2 linked regions of the Saccharomyces cerevisiae S288C genome follow. The gene in region 2 interacts genetically with the main gene of each other region. Each region holds a gene or a part of one and is shown on either strand. Other genes may lie near its edges.

What was found. Genes that interact genetically often act in the same process or in processes that back each other up.
Region 1: mutations in GND1 (region 2) and HEM3 together harm fitness less than expected from each alone (positive genetic interaction), as found in Saccharomyces cerevisiae (one large-scale study listed by BioGRID).

What each region holds. Positions count from the first base shown.
Region 1 is NC_001136.10:90,886-96,537, reverse strand, and holds HEM3 (hydroxymethylbilane synthase), read left to right. Parts: upstream 1-2,792; coding exon 2,793-3,776; downstream 3,777-5,652. Other genes in the region: ACK1 (Ack1p), read left to right, coding at 1-456; RTN2 (Rtn2p), read right to left, coding at 752-1,933; YDL204W-A (uncharacterized protein), read right to left, coding at 2,253-2,405; YCX1 (Ycx1p), read right to left, coding at 4,074-5,652. UniProt on the Saccharomyces cerevisiae protein: Catalyzes the tetrapolymerization of the monopyrrole porphobilinogen (PBG) into the hydroxymethylbilane pre-uroporphyrinogen in several discrete steps.
Region 2 is NC_001140.6:466,322-472,929, reverse strand, and holds GND1 (phosphogluconate dehydrogenase (decarboxylating) GND1), read right to left. Parts: upstream 1,971-6,608; coding exon 501-1,970; downstream 1-500. Other genes in the region: SSP1 (Ssp1p), read right to left, coding at 1-186; RGD3 (Rgd3p), read right to left, coding at 2,354-4,711; SVP26 (Svp26p), read right to left, coding at 5,016-5,702. UniProt on the Saccharomyces cerevisiae protein: Catalyzes the oxidative decarboxylation of 6-phosphogluconate to ribulose 5-phosphate and CO(2), with concomitant reduction of NADP to NADPH.

The DNA.
Region 1 (5,652 bases), on a different chromosome or scaffold from region 2:
GGCATACGAAAAGACTCTCAACTGGCAATAAAATACTACCAACAATGTGCCAAAGATTTTGAGTACCCTTTAGCGCAATGGAAATTAGGAAATTGTTATGAGTTTGGAGACCTAGGGTTGCCAGTGGTGGCCAAAAAATCCATATATTGGTATTCCAAAGCTGCTGCTGCTCAGCCGAAGGGGAATCCGATGGCAATGTTATCCTTAAGTGGATGGTACTTAACGGGAGCACCAAATATTTTGAAACCAAACAATAAAGAGGCATTCAACTGGGCCTTGAAGAGCAGCAAGTGTTCAGACGGTAAATTAGCCCGCACTGAATTTGCCTTAGGATTTTATTACGAAAAAGGTGTCGGTTGTGAAGTTGATTTGGATCTGGCCAAACAATATTATCAGAGGGCTGCAAGAATGGGATTCAGGAAGGCAGTTGATGCTCTTCGAAGTTTGACAAATTAACGAATTCGCATTTCTTTATTATGCCATAAATCAAATATTATTCAGGACATTAGTAAAATATTGTAACATTCTCCTCAAAAATGAGAGGAGAATAAAAATAACAAAAGCGAAGAAATGCGACGTCATTTACTCATTATTTTAAACTAAATAAAAAAAATATTGTAACTACTTATCGTTGTAATGATATCTTTTCTTCAAAAAAATATATAGTTGGTGATAAATATGACCTCTTTGAAAAAAAGAAAAGGAAATGAACTACTAGCTAGAAAGAAGAGAGAAAAAAAAAAAAACTAGATTATGCGTGTTGCAATTTTTGCTTTAGGCCGTGCGTGGTTTTGTGTAAGGTTTCATTATTCTTGATGGGAATCGATTGGCTTTCGGCGGGTTTAGTGGTGTGTCTAGTTGGAGCTGGAACGGTGATTGGATCTGGGATTTCCTTGCTTCCTACCAGATTGTAATCACCATCTTTTAGGTTTTGCTCCAGTTCACGCTGATGAGCTGCTAATTCTTCTTCAATATCAACTGTTCTTGGATCATATGTCTTGACATCTGGTTTACTGAAGTTTTCATGCCTGTTGTTGAAATCCTTCTCTGTTGGTATTTCCTGCTTCCCAGATTTTAAGGTGCCAATATTCTCATTCTGAGAAACTGGATATTCGGCTCGGTTATATTGAGAGGTAGAATAGCTGTCTTTGCCACTTTTGGAGGCTGACGTGTCGTTCATGTTGTCAAACTCAGAAGAGGAAAGGCCGCTCTTGTTACGTTGAGAAGTAGAAGATTTGTTTTCGTTACTGATAGAGGTTGAGTAGCTGCCTTCATCGGTTTGGGGTGGGATAATCTTGTCAATGTATGGTTCAGTCTTTTCAACCACCTTGTTGTAATTTTTGTGAAACCTATGAATAACTAGATCCTTCATCCTGTCGATAGCACGGTCAATTCTAGCCTGCTTTCTATCGTAGATTAAAGGCACAGTGTACAAAAAGATGGTGGTCATTATCAAAACAGTGTTCATAGAGAATATAGCAAATAGGCCGTGCAAGAAATAGAGGGAAACACCAATGGTAAAATTGTTTCTTGTTCTGTGTGCAAACACTAACTTTCTGATTCTGTCCTCTAACGCAGGCAGACGATCCAATTCGCGGTCGATATGAGGCTTTAAGACGCCAACAAGGTCCGGAGACTCTTGCATGCCAAACCTAGACACTACTCCTTTATCAAATAGCACCTTTGTAGAAAGCTCCACCGCAAAACTCGTGAACAACACCATGTATCCGATCTTAAGTAAAACAGAAATAACATTGACATTTCTGAGGATCAGCAAACTCACCAGAGTCGCAGCAAAGCTCGCACCCGACTTGCTAGGGTTAGTCCAGTATATCAATCCCGTCTTGTTCTGATGACCTGCTTCACCGGGAGCGTTAGCATTTCTACTGTTATTCAAATTCGCGTTCTTATTGGTAGTCGTATTCCTATTCATGTTGATGATAGTTTGTGGCAAGTTGAGACAAGCAATTGAACAAGTTATTACTACTATTGCTACATAATTGATCTGCTTTTCAATCCCTTTTATATATTTTTTTCATCAAAGTAGCAAGCTTTATCGTTTGAGGGTGGAAATAAGGGTGAACAATAAGGGGAGATTGCCTATGCGCCTAAACGTCACCGTCTAACCTTGTTCTCCTTTCAACAAAAACGCCTTGCGTTCTTATTGCTAGGCCACAATTACAAGCATCTCAAATGGGGCATTATCACACCGGTACCACCGACACATTCTGCTGCTACCCTTGTAGTTTAAGTTAACTTTGCGTCCACTTTTCGTAATTATTTTGCTCCCTGGCAGCACCGGGGGTAAAGATGTCTTTCTGGCTAATGCAGTCATCCTTACATTGTCGTTCGTACGGCAGTCCAGGATTTTTGACCATCTTTACGCAGCAATTCCCATATAACATTCCTTCTCTCCTTGTCAATTGACCCTGGGGAGCGTCTGACCAATAAGAAACCGATGAGTAAGCAATGAAGGTCTTTTTTTTGGCTACGAAAATTTCAGCAATTTTTTAAAGTGAAAAAGTAAAAAAATCAAACATAAAAAAAGAAAGAAAATGAAAAAGTAAAGGAACGCTTTATATAAACGAGGCTACTAACTATCTGTATTATTGCTACACATAGCCTGAATTCAAGGTCATTGGCAGATTGACGCTCGTGTTTGCATGGTACAGGGCTGTATTAGATTTTGAATATTCTGTTCTTCTCATCCCGTATTAATATCTAGAACAATAGAAAAAAAGAAAAGCGAAGAAAATCTAGATAAATTTGTAGTTGGTAAATACACACGTACTATGGGCCCTGAAACTCTACATATTGGTGGGAGAAAATCGAAATTGGCGGTAATACAATCCAACCATGTTTTAAAACTGATCGAAGAAAAGTATCCGGACTACGACTGCAAGGTTTTCACTTTGCAAACTCTTGGTGACCAGATTCAATTCAAACCTTTGTACTCATTTGGCGGTAAAGCTTTATGGACAAAGGAGTTGGAAGACCATCTTTACCATGACGATCCCTCAAAGAAGCTTGACTTGATCGTTCATTCTCTGAAGGACATGCCCACTTTACTACCAGAGGGTTTCGAGCTGGGGGGTATCACTAAGCGGGTCGATCCAACAGATTGTCTTGTCATGCCCTTTTACTCTGCTTATAAGTCTCTGGATGACCTTCCAGACGGGGGGATTGTGGGAACCTCATCCGTGAGAAGATCTGCTCAGCTAAAAAGAAAATACCCACATTTGAAATTTGAAAGTGTCAGAGGAAATATACAAACTAGATTACAAAAACTAGACGACCCAAAATCTCCGTACCAATGCATCATCTTGGCGTCTGCTGGGTTGATGCGTATGGGGTTGGAAAACAGAATTACGCAGCGATTCCATTCGGATACAATGTACCATGCAGTTGGACAAGGCGCCCTGGGTATAGAAATTAGAAAGGGTGACACCAAGATGATGAAGATTCTTGACGAAATTTGCGATCTAAATGCAACTATATGTTGCCTTTCGGAGCGTGCTTTGATGAGAACTTTAGAGGGGGGTTGTTCCGTTCCTATTGGTGTGGAATCTAAATACAATGAAGAGACTAAAAAATTACTATTAAAGGCCATTGTAGTTGACGTTGAAGGCACAGAAGCAGTAGAAGACGAAATTGAAATGCTAATAGAAAATGTTAAAGAAGATTCCATGGCGTGTGGTAAGATACTAGCTGAAAGAATGATTGCCGATGGCGCAAAGAAAATTCTGGATGAAATTAATTTAGACAGAATCAAATGAACACCATTAATTTGATCAGTCCAAAAACTCTATTATTACTAACTAAAGTTCCCTTTTTTTTTTTTTTTTTTTTTTTTTTCCTTATCTCCTTTATCTTTCAGTTATTTATTTCCCTCTCATTCCTCTCATATTACTTGTTTAATTTAATGACCATTTTCAAATGACCACTGCATAAATATTTTGTCAATTAGAATATGTAATTCCTACCTTTGTTTATTTTATACTATTCATACAAGCTTCGTTGTTAATATATTTATTATAGCTTGTATATAAAAAATGAAATCTTGATTTATTAAATTACACTTGGTGAACTTCTAAAAAAACACTAATACATGTGACAACTATATACAACGTAAGAAGTGCAATACTAATCTTCTTGTCAATTTTCCAGTCGTTTAATGGTATCAAAACCGTAAATATCAAAAACGCGATCAGAATTCCGACTCCAGTATTGATTAAGTTTTTATCCACTTTAAAATCAATATGATGCATTAAAATATTACTATCTCTGCCACTCACTATTTTTCCAGTTTTGTCGCCTAGCATTATCATAATTCCATCAAATCCGACGCCAAATAAGAAATATAAAAGTGGACTGCCAAAACAAGCTCCTATCGCGATTTCTAAAACACCTATTTTGACGAATGTAATATTTGACACTAAATCACCAATCGAATTACCCCATGTAAAAATGGTTAAACCTAGTATTGTTTCCGATATATTAAACACATTTATCCAATGCGTTAACGTGACTACAATTATGTGGACAGCTTTCGAAAGACAGGCCAATGACAATAAAAATGCTACTGTAAAGATTATATCAGAGTTGAACTTGTTCGGTATGGTCCTAGTTTTAAAATATAATAAGATGGCTATCACCAGCGATAAGATGAGCAACCAAAATGAAAAGTTATTTGTGATGAGTTGGTTGAGAATTATTGGCGAAGCAATCAATTGAATATTCTGTAGGTATGAAAGGGGTAAGTCATGGTCTGTTTGACTTATCTCTGATGGTATTGAAAGATAAAGAATTATTGATACCGGCGTAGTGACTAATAATGACAAGAACTCAAAGAAACCAATTTCCAAGGACACATCTGTTAAGTAATTGTAAAGTTGGAAACTATGCCAAGCGGTTCTACTCTTTGTTGAACAGAGAGATAGTGTTCTATCGAGAATTATATCATCTCTCTCATACTGTAAGAGAGAGTTGTCGATAACATCTGATATGCTGTTCAAGGCATTGGTAGATTCCTGTGTACGTGTAGCCTCGTCATTTAATATAATATTATTACTCCGGACCAAGTTTGGAATGCGATCGCAGCTTAATGATTTCTTGGAGGTTTTTTTTTGTGGCACAGTCAAAAACAAACTTGTGGGTTCATTATAGTAAGTTTGATACTCGTTTTGGGGAGCAGAGATTGCAGTATCCAGCGCATTTGAATTTTCCCCATTCCGTAGGGACAAATATTTGTAAAAATCCTTAGGTTGTAATGAATTCATCCTTTTTCTTATTAAAGGCCTCCCTTCTTCATCTAAAGAAGCTTTAGTAAATAAATGAGTATCATCGGAGGGTAAAGACAACGATTTTACTGTATTGTTAAAAAGATTCTGCTTCTCCCATATATTCAAAAGATCTTGTAACGTCATTCTTACCCAGCCATGATAATGCGACCGTAAATATCCCCGTATTCTACGTCTTATTAAATCCCTTCTTTCAGGTATACCTTGATTAAATCTCGAAATGTTATCCAGGGATTTACTTGGTAAACGAGTTGGATCTAAACTAATAGCGTTGTCCTCATCAATCTGTGTATCCCCCAAAGGCCTTACATATCTTATTCCATCGTCTGTGGATGTAATGTCACTGGTAGTC
Region 2 (6,608 bases):
ATAAAAATTCTTGTTAAATATTTCAGGAACATCCTCCTCTCCTTGGTGGTTGTTATTTTTCCCATTTTGTAACCACCTGCGCATTCTTTCCCTAAATTTGGTAGGCTTTTTCTGCTTCGACTGCTTTGGGGAAGTTGAGGTTATTTCCCCAGAAGGATCATTCTCATATGTGCCAGAGCTTCTCATTGTTGCTAGCTTTTCTACTCTACTTCTATCATGATAATAGGCACTATTGTGAAATTTTTCACTTTTATTTTATTTTCTGACTTCATGATTTTGTGTCGCCTGTTTGCCTTTCCTTACGTAAAAAAAAAAAAAGAAATGGAGATAGTTTCGGGACCCCGTTTATAAACCTTTAATATTTTAGAAAACACATAACTTCATATACTATTTATAATTGCATTTGGATTTATTTATCTATTTATTATTATGATTACTTTTACTATAACTAATCTATTTCATTAAATTTTTTTGGTTTATGTCCAGGTTGGAGATTTCCTTTAAGCTTGGTATGTAGAGGAAGAAACATTACCACCGTGGCCAGTCCAGTTGATATGGATATCCTTGTCTACTGGCAAGTTGTCAGAAGCACATTCTGGCAACACTCTGAAAGTGTGAGCACCAAAGTAGTCACGTTGAGCTTGTAGTAAGTTGGCTGGCAATCTTTCAGATCTGTACCCATCGTAGAAAGACAAAGCGGTGGAAAAGGCTGGTGTTGGGATACCGTAGGTGGTAGCCAACGCAATTGACTTTCTCCAACCAGATTGAGCCTTGGTGACGGCATCAGCGAAGAACTTGTTGAACAACAAGTTTTCCAAATCTGGTTCTTCTCTGTAGGCCTTTGTGATTTGACCCAAGAAAACAGATCTAATGATACAACCACCTCTCCACATCAAAGCGATGGCAGGGTTGTTTAGTTTCCAGCCATAAGTAGCAGCAGCTTCACGGATCAACATGAAACCTTGAGCGTAAGAAATAATCTTGGAAGCATACAAAGCTTGTTCCAAATCATCGACAAATTGTTCTCTGTCCTTGACGGCGTCTTTTGGAACTTCTGGGCCTGGTAAGACCTTGGAGGCTCTAATTCTCTCGTTCTTCAAAGCAGATAGACAACGGGCAAAGACAGCTTCACCAATCAAAGTAACTGGCATACCCAAATCCAAGGCGTTGATGGCAGTCCACTTACCAGTACCCTTTTGACCAGCAGTATCCATGATTTTTTCAACTAATGGCTTACCGTCGACGTCGTCGAATTTCAAAATATCTCTGGTAATTTCGACCAAGAAGGAATCCAAGACACCATTGTTCCATTTGGCAAAAACGTCACTGATTTCCTTATCGGTAAACCCACCCAATCTCTTCATGATGTCATAAGCTTCACAAATCAATTGCATATCACCGTATTCAATACCGTTGTGAACCATCTTGACGTAGTGACCAGCACCGGCTGGGCCAACCCATTCGCAACATGGTTCACCGTCGGATTTAGCAGAGATGGATTGGAAGATGTTCTTAATATGTGGCCAAGCTTCTTCAGAACCACCTGGCATCAAAGATGGACCGTAACGGGCACCTTCCTCACCACCGGAGACACCAGAACCAACGAAAAGAATACCCTTCTTCTTCAATTCTTCGTAACGTCTATTAGAATCTGGGAAGTGAGAGTTACCACCATCGATGATAATATCACCCTTTTCCAAAAGTGGGACGATTTGGTTGATCAAAGCGTCAACTGGAGCACCAGCTTTAACCAAAAGCATGACCTTTCTAGGTCTCTTCAATTTGGAGATGAAATCTTCAATGGAAGTAGCACCGATGATAGATTTGCCCTTAGCTTCATTGGCCAAGAAATGGTCGACCTTGGATTGAGTTCTGTTGTAAGCACAAACAGTGAAACCGTGGTCAGCAGCGTTCAAGATCAAATTTTGACCCATGACGGCCAAACCAATCAAACCGAAATCAGCAGACATTTTATTGTAGTTTTTGTATAGAAAGTGGCTTTTTTCTGTAATGGCAACAATACAGGTTTATATGTATCAGGCTATTTACTTTATTATGTAAGAAAGGACCCCACTAAGAAAAAAGGAAACCTTTGAAAAAGAAACAAGCTCAGGAACAATACTGCAGCTTTTAACGAACATCAGGCCCATTTATATAATACAGCCTCGAAGCCCACCAAGGCCAAAGCGCAAGGCCGCGTGGACCACCAGGACGAAGCACCGCGTAACACCGAGGCACCGTAATGTAACACCGACAGCCACAATAGGTACAAAAGCAGCACAACCTCGAGGCGGGACGAAAGAACAGAGAGGTAGCAGGTGATTTACGTAGTTACTATGTAGCATGCATGGAGTTATGTAGAAGGGACATCGTTGACGTTGATGGGAAGGAATAAACCACTCTTACGTTTAGGTCTCTCTGGGGTTGTCGGAGTAGAACTAGTCTTGAATGGCCGAGGTATGAAATGGCCATCCTTGTCGTTTGGCGGTGGCTTAGGGGTAGAGTGTATAGGTGCCGTTGTATCCTTTATAATTATCGTCGGCGGTTCAGTGAGTGTCGCAGTAGTTGCCGTCGTGATCCTGTTTGCGATCAACGTTTGCAAAGTTTCTACAGTTCTTTCGTTGATGAAAAATGTAGATAATGTTGGTGACAAGATTTTGATGTCGATAGGGTTCTGTAAGCCTGTTCTTCTTACGAAGTGATGGGCCAATGGTATGTCTATGTCACTGTTGTCTCTAAACAAATCTTGTATTGTTTGCGGCGGAAGTGAGTATTTGCTATTGATCAATTGAAAATGGTTTGCTAGTTCTTGTAGAAACCTTAAGGAGCTCGTCGGAAACTGTTCACATAGGGATGTTAGCGATTTTTCGGCCTTAATTAAGTCATCGTAGTGGTTTGAAGGTATTAGGCTGTCGGGTAGCTCTAACAGCCATAATTTTATCAGTCCGACGAGATCATTAGTGACATAGCTGTGCGAGTTTTCAAAAAAATGAGCAGTGATTATAGAGTTTGTATTTTCGGTAGTTTTCGATCCTTTGAATTCCCCCAATAAGTCTCTTTTCAAATTAGAAACCCTTACAAAATCAATATCCCTGTGCCAACTTTGTATGACTTTATTAGCATTTGGTTCCTTTTCAATCTGCCGCAGTATAATCTTTATTGCCCCTAACGTATCAAGAGCAGCCAGTTCATTATTTATTTCACTACCACAGAAAAACTTTTCGCTTTTTATGGAGATTTCTTTGCAAGCGTCGACTGGATCACTCGCTTCTAGGATATTCCACCTGCGAAAGGGTATGCCATTATCCCTGAGGAAAAACCCTCTTACATCCGCATTGGCAGTTTCCTGTGGCAGTTGTGCTTCTTGTAGAGAACACACAGGTGAGTCAGTAAATTTTTCACATTTTTGTTGAAACATCATGTTTGATGATTCTAGAGCTCGTTTGATTCCGTCCTCCATTTTAGAGTAATTTTTACAATAATCATAAATGGTTTTTTCCAACTGCACTTTAGAATATTCCAACTGGCAACACTTGGAGAAAAAAATATCTTGTGATGATTCAAGTTGCTGTTTTAAACTCTTCCACTCATTTTTATTCATATCTGTACTTCCCGCTGCATCGCAATCATCATTATCATGTTGACTAACTTTGCGGATCCAATCGGATATAGATGTTTTGATAGATGAAACGTTGGACTTTTCTTCGTGTTCATTGTCGGAGTGTGTTAACTCACCATACGATTTTTTTTTTCTGTTTCCAGCATTACCATTACTCTCTTGCGTAGCAAGGACTTCACTGTTCCAGTAATAGTATTTTTCCTGGTCAAACTGAGAAACTTTGCTAGAGTAAAAACTCAGGGAATATTCTTGTATTATACCCAGTTGGATGAATTCGTTACCTATCCTATCGATATTAAATAAGGACAGGTTTAGTCTGGGTTCAAGTTTTTTCAATTCTTTGATCAATGACCTGCCTTGGAAACTTTGATTTGACAATCCTGGAACGGAAAAGACACTTTTCTCCAGGATGACTTTTCCCTTCAAGGTTTGCAAAAATGACATAAATTGGTCGCAATCCTCAAATTTTAACCTCTCGTCTAAAGTGTAAGGAAACTCGCATACGAAGTTCAACCTGGTTAACGGTGCACTATCCTTTCCATTATCAAAAACAGAGGAAGAATTTTCCACTGGCGTATTGGCTTTTTTCAATTTATATATAGACTGAACTCTTTTCTCACATCCAATTAGTGCCTCTTTAGCTGCGACTAAATCCTTAATGTAAGCTGAATAACGAGATGACAAATCGTTTTCTGCCTCACGAAGGAAGCTCTCATTAAGATCTCTTAGTTCTTGCAATGGAATTTTACAATCTCTTTCAACTTGCTCTGTTGATATTATATTAAACTGTTTGCTCATCACTTCCAGCAGCCTGCTATTCATTGAATTGGTTGCTTCCATTTTTTGTAAATTGTTCAATGTTGGTTTCCAAAATTTGTTGACAAAATCATTGTAAAATTTGATGTCTTTAATCAGCAAATCATTTTCTCTCTTCATATGTTTTATGAATAATTTGATACCTGTTGTATAGTCTTTGGTCCAATATGTGTTCCTTAGTGAAATTTTAACTGAGTCGCAATCAATGGAGAGTTGCCTCGAATTCTGTAATTCATCACCAATAATATCTTCTTCGTTATGCTCTTTAACAGACATAACTAGAGACCGAAAGAAAATGCTCTCTTTCTCTTGCCTTTGTCTATGTAATGACAATACTTAATCTACTGGGCCTGACTGGTTTTTTGTTTACTAGTTGCTCTAAAAAATGCAAACGTCAATAAAAAAGAAAAATATGGAAAAGAAAATATACTTTCCCGTATTAACTTGGGTAAAATATAGTAGTATTGTATTGGTGATTTTTCTTTCCTGTGCAAAATAGTTGGCAGAGCATTACACATATTTCTTATTTAGAATATTCAAATAAAGAAAAACTAACTACATGTTAAAAAAAAAGGCAATCCTAAACAGCCAATCTATCAAAGTCAGGTTCTATCTCATAACCGAATACACGGGCTAGAGAGTAGATGTACTTCCTTACCGAGTTGATGACTACACGAGCTAACCCAACAGCCCTTTTACGAAATTTTGGCTGGTTGTTCGTTGTGATGTCATCATTTTTCTTAGCCATATGTTGCTCACTAGTCGTTGGTAGCACATAATCACCAGCTGACAGAGAAACAAATAAGGCAAATGGTATGAACCAAACGCATATACCAAAAAATGAGGCTACTTCAGCGAAACTAGCACGTCTGCGTGGTATATAATTTGGATCAAATTTGAACTGTGGGGGAACTTCCGTATCATTAAAATATTTGAACCAGAAGTAGTGATTCAAGACCACACATACGCAGCTTAATAGGAAAGTTGGGCTGGTTAACGAAATAAATGGGAAACTTTTTAAGTTTTGGTAATATACTATGTAACATGCAATGGAAAAAAGTGTAAGTTTGAACGGGAAACCGTCTAGTAACAGTAGCAGAATTAATATTAATATTATACCATAAATAGCCCTTGTGAGAAACCGTCTTGTGGGTTCTGTGTGTTCTTCAACAAGTTCACTAATGTAGTATAAACCCGATGCAATTGAAAGTGTTAAAAAAAGAAACCCTGAAACGGTTCCTGCATAAGAAATCAATTCTAACAGCATGGTTTTATTCTAACAATTTCTTTTCTCCCTTTTGCTCTTTTTCTCACTTGTCAACTATATGTTTTTAGTTTTAATTTTCACATTGACCATTCAACCTTTAAAAAATCATAAAGTTATAAATGATAGAGAAATAAGAACAAAGGGAAAAAAAATAATACCGGTATAATGCCACCTGCCAGAATTGAACTAGCGACCTTTGCATTACAAGTGCAACGCTCTACCACTAAGCTAAGGAGGCTAAAAATACAACTATGTTGTATCTCAAAATAAGATACGTCAGTATGACAATACGTCATCCCAAACGTTCATAAAACACACATAACAAACGAATAGAATGAGTAACATAACTGTTGGAATGCGAGAATGAGATATTTGTGAATTTTGAGATAATTTGTGGGAATCCATTGTTCACAAAGACAATAATATTAGGTATATAGAATATGCTAGAAGTTCTCCTAGAGGATATAGGAATCCTCAAAATGGAATCGATATTTCTACATGATAATATTAGGATTATTCCTCATTCCGTTTTATATGTTTCATTATCCCATTACATTATCAATCCTTGCACTTCAGCGTCCATTAAGTTCGATGACTGTGTCCCAATCCTATGTCATCTTCTTACACCGCATGTAATAATATAATAGTAATATGACTACTATAAATAGATGACATTTTAGAGTTTCATGTCTTCATAAATGTTTGGCAGGAAGTTTGAAAAGATGGAACGTGCTGCTGCTGATGTAAGGGTCTGAATAAAACCGGATGTCTTGGCAATCCTAATGTCGCTAGGATAGTTGCTTGTCTTTCCAACAAAAGATATAATTCACAAATATTTCTCTGTGCTCCGCATATATTTGGCTTGATGTTTTAAATAGTTTGTGAGTAGTAATTCAATACAAATAC